Linked DNA regions of Caenorhabditis elegans. The protein of the gene in region 2 purifies or fractionates together with the protein of the main gene of each other region. This does not show direct contact. Each region holds a gene or a part of one and is shown on either strand. Other genes may lie near its edges. The genes, in order: gas-1, dlst-1, ndub-6 and ndua-12.

What was found.
Region 1: the proteins of dlst-1 (region 2) and gas-1 fractionate together in Caenorhabditis elegans (co-fractionation; one large-scale study listed by BioGRID). This does not show direct contact.
Region 3: the proteins of dlst-1 (region 2) and ndub-6 fractionate together in Caenorhabditis elegans (co-fractionation; one large-scale study listed by BioGRID). This does not show direct contact.
Region 4: the proteins of dlst-1 (region 2) and ndua-12 fractionate together in Caenorhabditis elegans (co-fractionation; one large-scale study listed by BioGRID). This does not show direct contact.

Annotation. Positions count from the first base shown.
Region 1 is NC_003284.9:15,586,246-15,591,971, reverse strand, and holds gas-1 (putative NADH dehydrogenase [ubiquinone] iron-sulfur protein 2, mitochondrial), read left to right. Parts: upstream 1-1,574; 5' UTR 1,575-1,580; coding exon 1,581-1,721; intron 1,722-1,772; coding exon 1,773-1,906; intron 1,907-1,959; coding exon 1,960-2,134; intron 2,135-2,354; coding exon 2,355-2,577; intron 2,578-2,625; coding exon 2,626-3,271; intron 3,272-3,601; exon of another isoform or gene 3,602-3,661; intron 3,662-4,823; coding exon 4,824-4,953; 3' UTR 4,954-5,186; downstream 5,187-5,726. Other genes in the region: usp-33 (Ubiquitin carboxyl-terminal hydrolase), read right to left, coding at 149-349, 430-603; K09A9.6 (Aspartyl/asparaginy/proline hydroxylase domain-containing protein), read right to left, coding at 5,224-5,331.
Region 2 is NC_003283.11:6,706,501-6,710,792, reverse strand, and holds dlst-1 (Dihydrolipoyllysine-residue succinyltransferase component of 2-oxoglutarate dehydrogenase complex, mitochondrial), read left to right. Parts: upstream 1-1,691; 5' UTR 1,692-1,702; coding exon 1,703-1,759; intron 1,760-1,814; coding exon 1,815-1,854; intron 1,855-1,901; coding exon 1,902-1,982; intron 1,983-2,033; coding exon 2,034-2,290; intron 2,291-2,347; coding exon 2,348-2,718; intron 2,719-2,768; coding exon 2,769-3,219; intron 3,220-3,363; coding exon 3,364-3,498; 3' UTR 3,499-3,737; downstream 3,738-4,292. Other genes in the region: sna-1 (Small Nuclear RNA (snRNA) Associated protein), read left to right, coding at 308-322, 409-488, 536-786, 835-891, 940-1,097; W02F12.4 (Exonuclease domain-containing protein), read left to right, coding at 3,894-3,896, 3,953-4,095, 4,141-4,292.
Region 3 is NC_003282.8:11,650,650-11,653,960, forward strand, and holds ndub-6 (NADH dehydrogenase [ubiquinone] 1 beta subcomplex subunit 6), read left to right. Parts: upstream 1-1,753; 5' UTR 1,754-1,759; coding exon 1,760-1,866; intron 1,867-1,919; coding exon 1,920-2,022; intron 2,023-2,074; coding exon 2,075-2,191; intron 2,192-2,256; coding exon 2,257-2,367; intron 2,368-2,420; coding exon 2,421-2,554; intron 2,555-2,603; coding exon 2,604-2,664; 3' UTR 2,665-2,783; downstream 2,784-3,311. Other genes in the region: acl-3 (Tafazzin family protein), read right to left, coding at 266-472, 573-852, 909-1,005, 1,051-1,170, 1,220-1,370; ent-1 (Equilibrative nucleoside transporter 3), read right to left, coding at 3,053-3,311.
Region 4 is NC_003282.8:2,716,166-2,721,480, reverse strand, and holds ndua-12 (putative NADH dehydrogenase [ubiquinone] 1 alpha subcomplex subunit 12), read left to right. Parts: upstream 1-1,646; coding exon 1,647-1,747; intron 1,748-2,823; coding exon 2,824-2,979; intron 2,980-3,371; coding exon 3,372-3,473; intron 3,474-4,614; coding exon 4,615-4,696; 3' UTR 4,697-4,794; downstream 4,795-5,315. Other genes in the region: ubxn-2 (UBX domain-containing protein 2), read left to right, coding at 378-466, 772-916; Y94H6A.7 (Low molecular weight phosphotyrosine protein phosphatase), read left to right, coding at 4,910-4,952. UniProt on the Caenorhabditis elegans protein: Accessory subunit of the mitochondrial membrane respiratory chain NADH dehydrogenase (Complex I), that is believed not to be involved in catalysis. Complex I functions in the transfer of electrons from NADH to the respiratory chain.

The DNA.
Region 1 (5,726 bases), on a different chromosome or scaffold from region 2:
TCTGTTTAGAAAAAAGTTCATCGCATGTGTCTGTCAAATTATATAAATATATGTAGATTACTATTTAACGGATATTATGTAAAAATGCAATTATATCAAAATTCAAAAAAGTAAGCAAAACTTGATGTCAATTTGCGAACAAACGTACCGCCATATGAGGAAGAAGGTGGTCGGAATTTTTGCAACAGCTTGACTTCAAACTATTAATACAATCTTGATGAGCACATGAGAAACTGACTGAATCATGGCAAGTCATGCATTTTAACTTCTTCTGTAGAAGCTGGCTGAGGTCTGATGGATTGATGTCTTTGACGTGTTTGCAGCGAGATTCCATTTGTTTTGGAAGCATCTGTAATTATTTTTGAGGTTTTTGGAAAATCAGGTATTGTGATGTTAAATGTTTGAGAAAGTCATTGGAAATATTCTTACCGGTCGCGGATTATTATTCTCTTCCAGATCATCCTTATCGGTATCTGTACCCGTTCCTGATTCAGACGATGACGACTCCTCATCTAGTATACCCTCTTCTTTTTCGATGTTCTGTGATGGCTGACTGCTATCCGAATTCATTCCGTCGTCATCACGCCCTGCACTATCCGCCATTCTGAAAAAAAATATAGAAAATTGAAATGAGAGTCATGTTAAATTTAAAAAAAAGTCATCATTAGTATCAATTGACCACAACGAAAAATGATATTGAAACCAAAAAAGAAAAAAACGTTAAGTTGTATTTCATATCATCAGTTTAATTAATAAGTTAATAGTATATTCGAAAATCTGTACTTTAAAAAAACAATGATGTCATTTCGGTAATAAGTGTAAAAAAATATGAAACTTGTGTATTATAACTCCACATTTTGAAAATTTAATTTCTTAACTTTTAAACGTGATCTTCATTTTGTTTTTTTTTTGAAACGATCTTTTCCAAACCTAATCATGATAATACTACTCACGTTTTAGATAAGTGGAGAAAAAAAACAATTACTAATTTACTTTTAAAATGTTGGAACACACGTACCGAAAATATTAGGTTAAATTTACAATTTGATCAAAAATTGAAAAATGAGTTTATTAAAAATTTTTACAAAATAATCCAAATTAACGTTATATTATAAAACAATTTTCAATTTAAAAAAAGTTTCTTAGAAAACAAAAATAAATAATAACACCGAGCATGACAATTCCGAACGACTGTCCAAGCAACAAGACATCTTCTAAATCAATAGAGAGGTGAGGCTACGCGAGGAAAACAACGACACTCCACCACGCGCTAAATACCGAGCAGTCGTCTTATTTTCGTTCGGTACCTATTTTCGACACTGTTTTTGCGAATTTACTTTCTTTTTTCTTAATAATTTTAATATTATCTTTATCGTGTAAGAAAAAATACGACTGACTGTTAGTTTCCATGAAAAAAATTGTGAAAATCAAGTTGCGAATTGGTGGGTTTTTGAAGTTCAATCTTTCTGTGTTCAATGTGCAATTTGGCAGCGATTTTATCGATTTTTCCGTTTCTCTTTGTTGCTTTAACTTCACAACTTTTATTGCTCACTATTCACCGAATATTTTTATAGGAAACAATGTTGGGTAGAAAGATCGCCGGAACTTGTCTCCGAGCGAACGTTCCATCGGTCGCGGCGACGTCTTCTACTCCTGCCACCCAAACCCGAAACTCCCACACAATCTGGTATCCAGATGCTAAATTTGAGCGTCAATTTAAGGTTGATTTTTTTTGTTGGTTACGAGTGACATCTCAATTTTCAATATTTCAGACCGGAGGTACCCTCGGAAAGCTGTGGATGTCGGAGCGGGTTTCGGATTTCGACGAGAAGATCGGACTTGACAAGCTTGAAAAGTTGGCCTATTCCGATCCAGTTATGAGTGATAACTACAGCGGAAAACAGAGGTAGAAATTTTACCGAGTACTTGAAAATTAAAATAATTTGTTTTTTTTTTCAGAGAGAAGAATCTGGAAAACATGATTCTCAACTTCGGACCACAGCATCCAGCCGCTCACGGAGTGTTGCGTCTCGTGTTGAAACTGGAAGGAGAAGTCATCATCAAGGCCATCCCACATATTGGACTCCTTCATCGTGCCACTGAAAAGCTCATTGAGCACAAGACCTACACTCAGGTATGTTTCTAAAACGATATTGAAAATGATAAATTGAAAATTTGTAAAATCTTCAACTCGGTCCAAGTTTAGAACTGAAAATGACAAATATTGTGTCTAAATAATAATTTTTTGTTTAGCCTAATTTTAGTTTTCAAAAGCTATGAAATCCGTTTCAAATCATTTTTTCTGTCACTCAAATCGAATATTCAATCAATTTTTCCAACTGTTTTCTTTGCAGGCTCTCCCATACTTCGATCGTCTCGATTACGTCTCCATGATGTGCAATGAGCAGGCTTGGTCTTTGGCTGTTGAGAAGCTTCTCGGTATTGACATCCCAACAAGAGCCAAATATATCAGAACTCTCATGGGAGAGCTCACTCGCATCCAGAACCACATCATGGGTATCACCACTCACGCCCTTGACGTTGGAGCTATGACACCGTTTTTCTGGATGTTCGAGGGTAAGTTTATTGTTTCAAAATAAGTACAAAACCAACATTGATTTTCAGAACGTGAAAAGCTCTTTGAGTTTTCCGAGCGAGTATCTGGTGCCAGAATGCATGCCAACTACGTCCGCCCCGGAGGTGTCGCTTGGGATCTTCCAATTGGTCTTATGGATGACATCTACGACTGGGCCATCAAGTTCCCAGAACGTATCGATGAGCTCGAAGACATGCTCACCGAAAACCGAATCTGGAAGGCCAGAACTATTGACATCGGACTTGTGTCAGCTGCTGATGCTCTCAACTGGGGATTCAGTGGAGTCATGGTCCGTGGATCTGGAATCAAGCAAGACGTGAGAAAGACCGAACCATACGATGCCTATGCTGATATGGAATTTGATGTTCCAATCGGAACCAAGGGTGATTGCTACGACAGATACTTGTGCCGTATTGAGGAGATGAGACAGTCGTTGAACATTGTGCATCAGTGCCTCAACAAGATGCCAGCCGGAGAAATCAAGGTCGACGATCACAAGGTTGTGCCACCAAAGAGAGCCGAGATGAAGGAGAACATGGAGTCTCTTATTCATCATTTCAAGTTCTTCACCGAAGGATTCCAAGTGCCACCAGGAGCAACTTATGTCCCAATTGAGGCTCCAAAGGGAGAGTTTGGAGTTTACCTTGTTGCTGATGGAACCGGAAAACCATATAGGTAACTATTTCATTTTTAATGTTAAGAATGCGGTGGTCTGAACCAAGGGTGTCAATGTCCCGTAAAATTTATATTATATATAAAAAATTTTAAATTTACAAAAACGGGACAGCGGGACTCCGGTTGACTATTAATTCTTGATTATGAAGTGATTACCAAATTAGGACCACACGCGCAGACATCTCCACCCTCCACCCTGATTTGAATGCCACAGTGGTCGGATCTGTAAACGACCCCTGTGGCCAAAGTGGTTGCGTCGCTGGTTAGTGTGCACAATCTCGCGGGTTCGATTCTTTTGAATGCTAAATCCTTTGTTCAGTTATTATAAGTAAGGGGACTTCTAATTGTTTGTAAAAAATCGAGTATTACAACCATTGGAATTTCTCTATTACATTTTTGGATTGGCAAAGTTGTAGTACTTGACTATAGGAAATGATTTAGCCTTTTAGGGAGGATGTCTTTTTCAGCAGGACGTCCTCGGCGGCAGGATCAGGACGCGTCCTCGTCCTTCGCGTTTGGACGTCCCCAATTCTCACTGTGTGTGTTTTTCACAATTTCAACAGTGAGACTTGAGGATGTCCAAACGCGCAGAACCTAACTCGTCCTTTTTAACAGCCCTAAAAGTGATAATTGTTATGTTCTGAAGGCGGAACGACGAGGAGAAGACAAGAAGTTTATTATATTAGTACTAAACTAAGGAATAAACCAGTTAGTTATAGAGCTCACGTTGTACAATCTTCTTAGCCACATCGTGGGTAAATACACTAGTAACAAGAGCTCAAAAGTCCAAGGTACAGATTTTTCACCAATTAAAAAGTTTGGAATTTTATTCAAATAAAATGGGAAAAGTGCAGCTTCAACATTTAACCACATTTTTTGCACTGTATTAAATAAATTGTCATTTTAGTGGAAGTGTATGAAATACTTTGTTCAAAGCTTCAGTGCAATACTAGTAGACACTGCAAGTTTTTTATTGGTTATCTAGAATGCAATTACAAAACTTTGAACAGCGTATTCCTAACATTTGAATAAGATATTTCTATGAATTGTTACTAGGCGGGATAGCTCAGTTGGTAGTGGTGGCCGCTAGTAGTCTGGAGGTCACAAGTTCAAGTTCCGCCTCACGCCTTAGGTTCGCCCAGCATCTAATGGGAAGTGAAGCTCATCATTCATCCATCACTGGATTATCGGCCACAGTCCCCGGCTAGGATGTGGCTTAAATTATAACCCAGTGGGAGCATCGCCAGGCAGTGTACCTGACTCCCAGATCCGCATTGATTTGCACTTGAAGAGAGAAATATTGTTCAAATTTTGAACTAAATGTCTGAAAATAAGATGCAAAGATTATAACACCGTTATACAATTAAAAATACAGTTGTATATAATAATGGTTACTGAAAAATGTAAGTGAACGGAAATTTCCAATTATTAATTTTTGTCATTTCACATACATACAATTAGGGCTGTGCAATCGGACGAATTCGTCCGGTTTTACCAGATTTACACGCGTCCAAAACAGAAGCTTTTTCAACATTAAATTGTCTCATTTCAGATGCTTCATCCGCGCTCCAGGGTTTGCTCACTTGGCGGCCATCCACGATGTGTGCTACATGTCTCTTATCGCCGACATTGTCGCTGTCATTGGAACTATGGATATTGTGTTCGGAGAGGTCGATCGATAAATACTCAACTCATTAGGCACGTAGACGGATTCTCTATAGCACATTCTCAACTCACTCTTTATTTATCCCTTGCACCGCGAAATGTGTTCTGTTTATTTTCTTTTCTTTTCAAAGTTCGTTTTTTTCTGAAATTCAAAAATGTAGATTTGTATCTGTTCACTGTTGTTCAGGATGTTCAATAAATAAGTCTGCAACCAAGACGCAAAGAAAAAACGCTTTATTAAGAAAATACTCACAACAATAAAAATAGAGCTAACATTATGATCAAGATTATGAAAGGAATGACAACACGCGTTGATGAGGTTGAACTTCGGGGTGCCAAAGTTGAATGGTGAGGACAAGTCGGAAGGATGATGAAGATGCACCGTCGAATTGGAGCTGAAATTTTAACTATGAACTTTAAGGTAATATTTAAAGACGGCTTTCAACTTTTGAGATCGTTGCCTTACTAGTTAGAAATTCGAAAAGTATTGAAAATTTGCCAATTGTTTGGGCATTGAGTTTTTATGTGCTTATCAATTGATATATCAAAATTAATAGTTTGTACCAGGGCTTCCATGAGGTCGCCGCAACGGTGCCTCCGCCGGGCTCACGCCGCATGTATAGTGCGGCGCGGAACCACAAACGTGTCGGCCGCTTCCAAATAACCACATTTTGGATTTACTGACACACACAGCGGCGCGCGGCGTCGGCGTGAGGCCCGCATTTCGCGCCTCACACAGCTGGGAGCCCTAGTTTGTACCTAGACTCCCTAAAAAGTATTGATTCAAGAA
Region 2 (4,292 bases):
TTTCTGAATCAGTGTCCTATGACCACAAAATTTTCAGTTTTATTACAATTGTTCAAGGTAAAATATGAATTTGTTGTTTTATTCAACGTAGACCTAATATTAAGCCAGTTACCATAAGCACTCAAAAAATAAACAAGGCGCGCTACGACACTCCGCACCCCTCAACGATTTTCGAATCAAAATTTTTTCTCGTCTCGTTTCTCTAGGGGGTTTCAGAACATTTCAAGTCTTGAAAGCGAGATTGATTTTTTGTTTTTAAACAGAAAATTAGTTGTTTCCATTAATTTTTCAATTTTTCGTTCTGAAAATGGCCGACAAGAAGGTAGGTAGGCAGAGCCCACCAATGGAAGTCGACGATATTGTTTTTCTCGTTGTTTTATCGATTATCTTCTATTCTTTTGTTTTCAGGACTACGCAGCTATCGCCGAAATCGAAAAGCAAATTGCCGATAATGCGGCAAATTTCGAAAAGTGGAAAAATGCTAACGCGTCAGTCGAATATATATTTTATTCACATAATTTCTCAATATTTTCAGGTTGCAAAGAGGATCTGCCGACTATAATGCAGGAGTGACACGATTCACCGACTGGGATCGTGATCTACGAACAAGGCTCGCATCTCATCAAGGAATAAATGTCGAATCAGGCCCGAAAAGCATCGATGCAGTCCTTGGAGAGTTGCTGGATAAAGTAGATGGTGCTGGCTTTGCACAAGCAATTCAAATTGCAAACTCCGCTGATCCTACATTTTGGCCAACATTACAACAGGAATTTCACAATTTTAAAGGTAAATAGTTTGAGTTTCCATTTGAAAATAATTGGCGTCATGTTTCAGCAAATCCACCACAGCCTGTATATCAAATGCCTCGATCTCAATATTACCCAAGTTTTGGTGAGTTGCATAGAATATTTTCTTCATTTTATAATTATTTTATTACAGCCTCGAGTCCATACGGTTATGCAGCTCCACAAGTTACATCAAACGTTCCTGTCTATCGGCCTGTTTTGCCAACAATTATCACACTTCCGAAAGCAGTCTCACCAGTCCGAGACTTCCAAAAGAAAACCGGAGCGCCATTCCGAGATTTCAGCGTGTAAACTGAACTAATCAATTCATCCTCGTTTTCTATTCACTATTTCTATACTTCACTTTTGAACTGTGCCGTCGTTATGTTTCTCAAATTCGAAAATCACAAATAAACATTTTCTAATCACACATCGATCTTCTGCTTATCAACTAGCCAGTGGTACAATGTTAAACTGGTTTTCGATATCTTTGATTCTGCAACATTCAAATGGGCAAACCCACGTGTTATATCGAATTGTGTGTGTTTATCAGAAATGCAACAGAAAAAATACAATTTCTACAGAAAATTGAAAAAATCAAAGTGAAAATTTGTGTATACTTTATTTTTATGATTAATTGCACTGCAAAATATGTCATGCGATTCATAATCTACGTATTTTTCATGTTATTGATATTCCGAAAAATATCCCGAAAAACTCTGATCCAACGAAAAGCGTGCGGTGGCGTTGCGAAAAACGCGCGCGCGCGTTGCAGACCAGCGCCCGTCCGACCACGCCCACTTCTCGAATTGTTGCATTAAAATTCCTTGATATTTTTGAATGAGGAGTTATTTAGAACATATTTCAATTGTTTTGCGCAAAAAATATTAATACGCTATTTTTCAGGGTAACCGAAAATGCTCGGGCGACGTGCAGTATCAGTTCATCGGTTTCTTTCCAGAGCCGCGAGACAAGTGAGCATTTCTCATTTATTTTTTAGTTAAAAAAAATACGTATTCCGTTTTCCAGAGCGTAACTGCTGCCTCTTCTGCACAGCCAAGCCTCCAAGGTAGGAAGTTTACACGTTTTATATTAAAATAATCGAATTTCTTCCAGCTAAGACCAGTTTGTTGGAACCACTCGTTCAAAATGTGAGAATTACATCTTCAGCCAACTTCCACATGAGTGCAGTAAGAAGTGAGTTTTAAATGAAAAATACTTTTCAAAAATCTCATATTCAAATCACAGTGAGCGATGTTATTACCGTCGAAGGACCAGCTTTTGCTGAATCAATTTCGGAAGGAGATATTAGATGGCTAAAGCAGAAGGGAGATCATGTTAACGAAGACGAACTTGTCGCTGAGATTGAGACGGATAAAACTTCGGTTGAAGTACCAGCTCCACAAGCCGGAACAATTGTCGAGTTTCTCGTGGAAGATGGAGCTAAAGTGACAGCCAAGCAAAAGCTTTATAAACTTCAGCCAGGAGCAGGCGGAGGCTCGTCTGTGAGTTAATTTTTGTACAGCTTAGTGACTGAATTATAATATTTGTTTTTTTTTCAGTCAGCGCCAGCTAAAGAAGAACCAAAATCAGCGCCAGCCAAAGAAGAATCAAAACCAGCTCCAGCCAAGGAAGATTCGAAGCCAGCTGTGACTGCCGCTGCCCCACCAAAGCCAGTTTCTGGGGATATTCCAAAATCTGCTCCACCAGTTGCTCGCCCACCATCAACACCATCATCTTCCACTCCAGTCGGAGCCGTCCCAGTCACTCGTGTCGTTGTTCCAAAGGGAGTTGATCCATCCCACGCAATCACCGGAGCCCGTGATGAAGTCCGCGTTAAAGCCAACAGAATGCGCATGCGCATTGCTCAAAGACTGAAGGATGCTCAGAATACTTATGCTATGCTTACTACCTTCAATGAGATTGATATGAGGTTTTTTGTTGTTTTCTGGGTTTTTAAAAAAAGTTTTCGTGTTTTTGCAGCAGCCTCATCGAAATGAGAAAGACTTATCAGAAGGATTTTGTTGCCAAGCACGGAGTTAAGCTCGGAATGATGTCTCCATTTGTCCGCGCTGCCGCCTACGCTCTTCAAGAATCTCCAGTTGTTAACGCCGTTCTCGATGAAAACGAAATTGTCTACCGTCACTTTGTCGATATCTCCGTTGCTGTTGCTACACCGAAAGGACTCGTTGTTCCAGTCTTGAGAAATGTCGAGAGCATGAATTATGCTCAAATCGAATTGGAACTTGCCAATCTCGGAGTGAAGGCTCGTGACGGAAAGCTGGCTGTTGAAGATATGGAGGGAGGAACCTTCACGATTTCTAACGGTGGAGTCTTCGGATCCATGTTCGGAACCCCAATCATCAATCCACCACAAAGTGCAATTTTGGGAATGCACGGAGTGTTTGATCGTGTTGTTCCAGTCAACGGAAAGGCAAGTTTTCATTTTTATTCCAATTACTGATAGAAATTATCAAATTCGAATTTCAAAATGTTTAAATTTAACTAAAATGATTATAATACTGAAAATATATAGAAACAAAAACGTATGATTCATAAAAATTTGTTCAATTTTCAGCCAGAGATCCGACCAATCATGCAAATCGCTTTGACCTACGACCACAGATTGATCGATGGAAGAGAGGCAGTCACCTTCCTCAAGAAGATCAAGACCGCCGTCGAGGATCCACGAATCATGTTCATGAATCTTTAAATCTTAAATCTTTATCGCCCCTTTTTTTCTAAATTCTTTTTTCTATGCCTCCTTGGTCATGCTTTCACAAAATTTTTAATTTTTCGTTTGAACGTTTAGTAATCAACCGTAAATCATAGGTACGATGTATCGTCTAGCTTGTCATTCACCCCTTATGTTCGACTGTCCCTTATTATCCGAGTTTTCTTGTTCAAAAGCTAGTATTGATTATTAAAAAAATAAAAACCAAATATTTCACTTCTTCATCAGTCTTTAATCACACAAATTTGGCAATCATTACTTTTGATTTCGATATTTATGACGTCACTTGGCAATGAGAAGGTGATCACTGATAAAAGATAAGAAGTTCAATGTCATCTTTCAGGTATTCCTGGCAAGTGAGAACGGTTGAAATAATGGTGAGTTGAAAAAAAAATCATTAGAGGAAATATTGCAATGTTGAATTTAATTTCAGAAGCGGTCATCGGATTTCACTCCAACCACGACACCTTCAAAAATAGCCACGTGGACTCTACACGGCGATGTAACTCCAGAACGGAAGAGAGGACCACCCATACTACTGAAAGCCAGTCCAACAAAACAGATTCAGAAAAGAAGGTGTTTAATATTTCCTTTCTTGGAAATATATTTTTTCAATTTCAGTGCCTACTCTCGAGAGTTTATCAAAACATACGTGTTCTTCGATCTGGAATGTACTGGACTTATAAAAAATGAAGATACACGAAATTTGCACGCACGAGCATTCAATAAAGCTGAAGAACATTATAATGTGCTGAATAATCTTTGCATTGAAA
Region 3 (3,311 bases), on a different chromosome or scaffold from region 2:
ACGACTCGATTCGACGTTCTGAAACGATGAGAGGAAATGGTGAAGGAGAACAGAATGATGATCTTAAGATCAGAGCTTGAGACGAATTCATCCGGGATTTCAAGGGAAGAGAAAAAAAAAACAAAAACAGCAAGTAGGAAAGAAAATGGCTATCACGTACATAGAAAATGCAATAAAAGTTGTGTTATAACAAAAATCATCAAACCAAGAAATAGAAAAAAAATCTAAATATTTCCTAAAAAATTAAAGCTATGGGGAATCAAGTTTAATATTCAATTGGCGGATTTTTTCGAAGAATTTCCAGTGACGATCCTTTAGGAAGATCACCAACTTTCTCTCCCAATTGATACATCCGTGTCTGAACTTCGTCAGTGATGATTTTTCGCATTTGTTCAGTGGTCAGTGACTTTGATAGAACTGTTTTCTTGAGATCAGACAGGAAAAATGGCTCTCCGATGTGAACTGTTACGGTCTGAAACGGAAAAAAATGAATAATTTCACTACGTTTTTTGCAGATTTTATATTTTTACGTCTAAATTTGATTATTGAACTTGAAAAATCTTCCGACTTACATTTCCAAATTTAGGATAGTATGGAGGTTGTGTTGGCCAAACTTTTTCCATCTCTTTACACCATACAGGCAATATTACTGGATCGGTTTTAGCATCCATCACAAGCCTTCCAATTCCCCACTTGAATCGTAGTGGTTCACTTTCAAGAGTACACACTTTTCCTTCTGGAAAGATATGAACCCATTTATTATCATTCAGCATATCCACACAGAAATCCATTCCTTTTTGATAAACTCCTTCTCCACGAACACACGGAACACAACGTCCTAATGAGAACATTCTGAAAAATAAATATGCGACGATTAATTTGAAAAATTCAAGAGAAAAAACTCTTACGTTGTATGGAACTGTTTTGTGAAGCAAATGTTGTGAGCTGCGAGAGTGTATCTATTGCGATCTTTGTATCTCCAAAACTCACGGAATTTCAGAATACCTGAAAATAGAAATTAGGAATGCTATAATAAATCATTCGGCTTACACCACATGAGCGGGTCGTCGATATTTGAGCGATGATTTGAGACTGTGATGAGTGGTTGATTCGGATTTTCCAAAATCTTGACGAATGTCTCTTTGTTGTGGCATATCAACTTATTGGATCCTAAAATGTATCGAATTTAATAATTTTAAACTTTAATTAAAAGACAAACCTCCAAGGAACATAAGTTTGGAAACTGAAGTGACTAAACTCATTGTCATGTATGATTTTATACGGTACAGAAGTGACGGTTTTTTTGGAAAGGGCCATGCAAACCGGAAGCCTTGCACGTCATTTGTTTTATCCCGCATTGTACCCGACATCGTGCTGAAATACTTTTAAAGTTTAGAAAAATCTTTCGAATGGAATAATAAAGTGTTAGAGAACGTGGAAACTATATTAATTTTAATCAGAACAATGCAAGAAAAAAGAAAGAGAAAAGTGCGCCGCGCGCTTGCACCTCGAAACTCCGCCTTCTTTTGCAAGCCGCAACGGGCTTTTTAATAAATGGCAGATCTAAATTTAACTGCAAAATAGTTTGTTTTATTCAAATTTGCTAAAATTTTATTGATTTCGTATGTAATTTATGTTAAATTGTTATATTTCGTTGTCATGTATCATGTTTTTTGTGTGCCCGTTCATTATTATCGATTTTTACTCAGTTTATATTTAAGCAGTCTCACAAATTCATAAAAACGAATTTCAGGCTCAAATGGGTAACCAGTATGTGAAACCAGAACGCACGGGCAATTCCCCTTATACCCGGTCCGGAGTTCCACCACCGGCGCTTGTCAAGACTGGTGACAAGCCTCTTCACAGGTAATTCTTTTAGATTCTGTTCAACAAATTCTATTCAACACAAAAAAATTCAGAGTGAATGACCGCATGTCTCTCGAGCTCCACATGGCCGATGAGCGTGTTCGTGCCGCTGGTTTGAGCCCAGCCGAAAGAGAATGGAGAAAGAAGTGGGTTCATGTGAGTTTTTACATTTTTTGTCAATTGTTAATACTAAAATGTTTATGTTTAGGACCAGCACCTTCACGCTGACGAGCCAGTCGTTGTCGATGCCGTTCATCGTCAGTTGAACCCAATCAGAACCGCTTACAGACTTCCATGGGACAAGTTCTATCTTCATTACCTCAAGGTGAGATATATTTTCTTTAAAAAAATCAATTTTTTAATTTGAATTTCTCATTTATTGCATTTCAGCCAACATTCGGAGTTTACTATGGAACCGCTATCAGAGTTACAGCTCCAAAATTGCTCATGGCTTTCGTCGTTGTGCAGACTGCCTATTATTATTGGAAATACGAAGTCAAGGTATTCAATTTTTTGAATTTTATATTAATTTCACGAACCATTATCTTTTCAAGGACTGGACACATTTGAGAGGACTTGAATCGATGCCACAAAAAGAAGTTATTGCTAGTGCTCCAGCAATTGAAGAGAAATTCCCTGGACTCATGGATAAGGGACTCGCCAACCCATCCAAGGATGACTACTACACGTGAGTTAAACAATAATTTGTGGAATATTGGAAAATTGAAACTTTTCAGACCAACATTTAATAAGCGTACTGCTTACCTCGATGTTGGAGAGACAAAACGACCGTGGTAATCGAAAGGAAACGAGTGACAATCAGTCATTCGAATATGTACTTTTAGGGTGTTGTAGACGAATTTTTAAAGTTTTTTCTTTGTTTTTGACCCTACCGTAAATAAAAAATTTCATGAATGATTTATTTAACCAACTTTCTAGGTTTTATTCATAAAAAACAAGTTGAGATTATAAAAAAATAGGAGAACAACGAGATGGTGCTGCGGAAATACCTGAAGAAGGAAAATAACAAAGAACAACAAAGTATTAAGAGGTATTTTAAGGAAAGAACACTAGTGGATAAAGATACTACAGAGGAAACCTTGAAGGTTATGAAAGAATTTACGTTAGGGAATTAATATTGCTAATGATGAGGTTGATGGGAATAAAATAAGGAGGAATAAGAAGTTTAGGCCGTGACGACCATCTTGATGACCATTGTGAAGATCAGACCAGAGACAATTCCAGAGATGAGGAAGAATCCGGCCATCATTCCAGCGACCTGAGCCTTCGATGGATCAACAGTCTTCGAGGTGTACATCATGGCGAGTCCCGAGAAATATCCACTTCCAAAGCTCATCGAGGCGGCGATAATGACGAAAAGCCAGGTGGATTCGAAAAAGACGGGAAGTGAACGGGTCTCAGGGAGATAGTTGCAGAAGATGAAG
Region 4 (5,315 bases), on a different chromosome or scaffold from region 2:
TAAAAAATTGCTGGCCTAGAAACCCAAACCTCGGCCACCTATTTTTCACCTAAAAACCGTACCTAAACACACCATCAGGACGCTTTTCTGCTCTCCGACGCTCATTTTCTGGGAAAAAATCAGATTTTTTTCCTGAAAAAAACGTGAAAAATCAATAAAAATATCACAAAAAGGTCGTAAAATCCTTCAAAAAATCAATAAAAATTGGCAAAAAAAAATCGATAAAAATCTACAAAATTCATATGATTTTAAACACAAAAAAAACGGAGAAAAATCTACTTTTTCGAAAAAAAAAAATTTCAGGCTCTAATTATAGATTTTCAGTCGAATTGTGGCTTCTTTCCTGATATTTTGATTAATTTTAACAAAATTTTCAGATCCAAATCCGTCTGCCAAACAATCAGCGTCTCGTCGGTATTTTTAATCATTCTCACACACTTGAAGCAGTTCGTACATTCATTTGCACGTGAGTTTTCAGCCGGAAAAAGCTATTAAAAACTCTCATTTTTCACTAGAAAAAGTAGATTTTTAGAAAATTTCGAATTAAAAAAATAAAAAAATCATCTAAAAATCACATTTTTAGCCTGAAAAATTCGAAATTTTCCAATGAATAATTATTTTTTAATAATATTTTTCTGATATACACAGTGATAGAAAAATTACATTTTTCAAATTAAAAAATTACATTTTTCAAATTAAAAAATTACATTTTTCTAGTTTTTTCTTTCAAAAAACTCAAATTTTTTTAATTTAAAAATTTTGATTTTCCAGCGCCCGCCCAGATATGATCTACGCTCCATTCCAAATGATGGCTGCCTACCCTCCAAAACCATTTGAAGACGAATCACAGACTCTGAAGGATGCAAATGTGCTCAATTCGGTCGTCGCCGTGAAAATCTTGCCCACCACCAACTGAGGAGATTCCTGACGCTGCTTTTTTGGCGGGAAAATTGAAAATTGAAAATTTCATCTGAAAAAATTTCGAATTTCTACTCGTTTTTACCCCCCAAAACCTCTCAAATTCCCTGAAAATACCTGTATTTTACGCTAAATTATTTGATTTTTTCCCCCCATTTCCCAATATCGTTTTTTTTCTTTCTTCTATCACACTTTAATGCATAAAAAAAGTACACCGTTTTCTGTGAAAAATTGCGGCGATTTTTATTGATTTTTTGTTTTGGAATTTGCGAGTTTTTCAAGCTCTGAAATATTTTTTTTATTTTTTCCAGATTTTCAGAATTTTTCAATTTTTAGTGAAAAATGCACATTTTTTACAAATTTTCCATTAAAAATTCAATTTTAAAGTCAAATTTTGAATTTTTCAGATTTTTTCCCAATTTTTCAGAGAGAAAAATCCTTCTTCTGCGATTTTTTGGTGAAAAATTTAAAGTTTTCAAAAAATGTAAAAATTCACTTTTTTTGTTCCAATTTTCCACTGAAAAATCGATTTTTCCCTGATTTTTTTCAAAAAATTCAAGATTTTTCAGTGAAAAACTCGAAAAATATCATATTTCACAGGAAATATGGAGTTTTTCGCCAAAAAATTTATAAAAAATTTTTTTTTGAAAAAATTCACAAAATGCTTGGTTTTTCCTCCCCACATTCCGTTAAAATTTCCCATTTTTCCAACCAAATTTACATTACAGATGTCCCTGAAAGCGTGGCTGGGAATCGATAAAATCCAAAAGTTTGGCCAAATGGTCAAGGAGATTGGAGGTGTCAAAGCGGTGCTTAAGAAGCGTTATTTGTAAGTTTTCAGGTGGAAAAATGGCTGAAAATGCACTAAATTAGAAGAAAAACGGTCGAAAATTACCTGAAAATCATAAAAATCGAAAAAAAAATCGGTGGCCGAACTTTTCGATTTTCTAGGCCATCAGGTGAAAAGTTAGTCCCCCACACAAAACTGACCTGACCTATCACGCAGAATGTCAAAACAAAATTGGGGGACTAATTTTTCACTTGGTGGCCTAGAAATCCAAAAGTTCGGCCACCGATTTCTGACAAATTTTTAATTTTTTTTTTCGATTTACAACAATCGAATTTTATTTTTTAAAAATACATCAAAAAATTGATGGCCTAACTTTTCGATTTTCTAGGCCGTCATGTGAAAAGTTAGTCCGCGGGTTGATAATCGCTTGAAATCACCTGAAAACGAGCGAAAATCAGCGGGGACTAACTTTTCAGCTGGTGGCCTAGAAAATCGAAAAGTTCGGCCACGAATTTTTTTTTTGAATTTTTCAGTATTAAAAAATTCAAAAAATGTACGAAATTTGTCATGAAATCTGTCAGAAATCGGAGGCTGAACTTTTTTGGATTTCTAGGCCACCAAGTGATAAATTAGTCCCCCAATTTCATTTGGACATCCTGCGCGATACGTCAGGTCAATTTTGTGTGGGGGACTAACTGTTCACCTGATGGCCTAGAAAATCGAAAAGTTCGGCCACCGTTTTTTTTTTAATGAGTTTTATGCCAATTTTACACTATTTTCGCTTAATTTCATCAAAATTTCGGTTGAAAAATTGAATTTTTCGAATGACTCGCGTCGGAAAAATGACCGGAGAAACATAAAAAACCGAAAAAAAAATCGGTGGCCGAACTTTTCGATTTTCTAGACCAGCGAGTGAAAAGTTAGTCCGCGCGGGCTTATAATCGCTTAAAATCACCTGAAAACGAGCGAAAATCGATGGGGACTAACTTTTCACATGGTGGCCTAGAAAATCGAAAAGTTCGGCCACCGATTTCTTTTGTTTTTTAATGATGATTTTTAGGCCAATTTTACACCATTTTCGCTCAATTTACATAAAAATCTTCTCAAATTTTCAGAATGGACGCGACCCGCGTCGGAACACTCGTCGGTTCGGACAATTTCGGCAATCGTTACTACGAGAATAACGCGTATTTCGTGCCACGCAACCGTTGGGTCGAGTTTCCCGACAAAGTTTGGCTCGACTATGATGCGACTCAAGTGCCACCGGAATGGTACGCAAAAAAATGACGACGAAAAATGAACAATTTTGCTGTTTTTTACACGAAAAATGGCCTAGATCGGCCTAAAATGGCCTAGAAATGGCCTAGAAAATGGCCTAGAATGGCCTAGACAAATACAAATAAAAATAGATGACATAAAAATCATGAAAATCGAAAAAAAAATCGGTGGCCGAACTTTTGGGTTTCTAGGCCACCAGGTGAAAAGTTAGTTCCACCACTCAAATTTGGCCCAAATCACTCAAAATGTCCGGAAAACATGGTGGACTAACTTTTCACCTGGTGGCCTAGAAATCCGAAAGTTCGGTCACCGATTTTCAAGCCTAATTTTCGTGTAAAAATGCGCAAAATTGTTCATTTTTTCATCATTTTCTTTAATTTTCCAGGCACTCTTGGCTCCACCACATCACCGATGATGCTCCATCGGTGAAGCCACCACCAACTCAGGATTGGGTACTCGAACATAAGGAGAACACCAGTATCTACGCGTAGGTTTTCGACGGAAAATTGGATTTTTAGACGAATTTCAATGAAAAAATCAAGAAAAACGGTGAAAAATGGCCTAAAAATCATGAAAATTGAGAAAAACAAAGTTGGTGGCCGAACTTTTTGGATTTCTAGGCCACCAATTTTTTTTTCTTAATTGCCGTAAATTTTTAAGAAAAGACATCACGGGGACTAGTTTTCCACCTGGATGGCCTGAAAGTCGTCAAATTTTGAAAAAAAAAAAGTTGGTGGCCGAACTTTTCATTTTCTAGGCCATCATTTTTTCGGACGTTTTTCGCCTATTTTTGGTCAATTTTCGCAGATTCTTGAACAAAAAATATCCCGGAGACTAGTTTTCCACCTGGATGGCCTAGAAATCGTAAAATTTTAAAAAAAAAGTTGGTGGTCGAGCTTTTTGGTTTCCTAGGCCACCAATTTTTCTAACGGTTTTCGGCCATTTTTCTTGTTTTTTAAAGTCAATTTTTCACAAAAAACATCCCGGGGACTAATTTTCCACTCACATGGCCTAGAAATCGTAAAATTTTCAAACAAAAAAATGGTGACCGAACTTTTTGGTTTTCTAGGCCGCCATCTTTTTCTAACGGTTTTCGGCCATTTTTCTTGTTTTTTAAAATCAATTTTTCACAAAAAACATCCCGGGGACTAGTTTTTCACTCACATGGCCTAGAAGTCGTCAAGTTTCGAAAAAAAAGTTGGTGGCCGAACTTTTTGGTTTTCTAGGTCAACAATTTTTTTCAATTTTTAAACGATTTCCAGCTGTTTTAGCTCGAGTTTCATATTTTTTTGGTCAATTTTTCCGCAAAAAACAGCTCGGGGACTCAAGAAATTGGTGGCCGAACTTTTTGAGTTTTCTAGGCCACCAATTTTTTTTTTCAATTTTTAACGGTTTCCAGCTGTTTTAGCTCGAGTTTCACATTTTTTTGGTCAATTTTTCCGCAAAAAACAGCTCGGGGACTCAAGAAATTGGTGGCCGAACTTTTTGGTTTTCTAGGCCACCATCTTTTTCTAACGGTTTTCGGCCATTTTTCTTGTTTTTTAAAGTCAATTTTTCACAAAAAACATCCCGGGGACTAGTTTTCCACTCACATGGCCTAGAAAACCCCTAAATTCCCAATTTTTCAGCGACAAAAAGTACGTTCCATACTCGACAACTCGTACCAAAATTCAAGGATGGCAACCAGGAGAGAAGCCACAATTCGACTGAAAATCTATAATTAGAGCCCCTGAAATTTTTTTTTTCGAAAAAGTAGATTTTTCTCCGTTTTTTTGTGTTTAAAATCATATGAATTTTGTAGATTTTTATCGATTTTTTTGCCAATTTTTATTGATTTTTTGAAGGATTTTACGACCTTTTTGTGATATTTTTATTGATTTTTCACGTTTTTTTCAGAAAAAAAATCTGATTTTTTCCCAGAAAATGAGCGTCGGAGAGCAGAAAAGCGTCCTGATGGTGTGTTTAGGTACGGTTTTTAGGTGAAAAATAGGTGGCCGAGGTTTGGGTTTCTAGGCCAGCAATTTTTTATTTGGAAAATTGACGAAAAAACGGTCAAATTTGCGCGAAAAAAATTGGTGGCCGACTTTTTAAAAAATTTAGGCCACCGATTTTTTTTCGGGTTTCCCATCGAATAATTAGTAATTCAGCACATTTTTGTGAAAAATTGGAAGAAAATAAAATTTTAAAAGTCGATGGCCGAACTTTTGAATTTCTAGGCCACCAACTGAGATGTTAGTCCACAAGCGTCTTCTTGCCATTTTGAATTGTGACTAGCTATTTTCAGATGGGCTGGACTAACTTTTCACTTGATGGCCTAGAAATCCAAAAG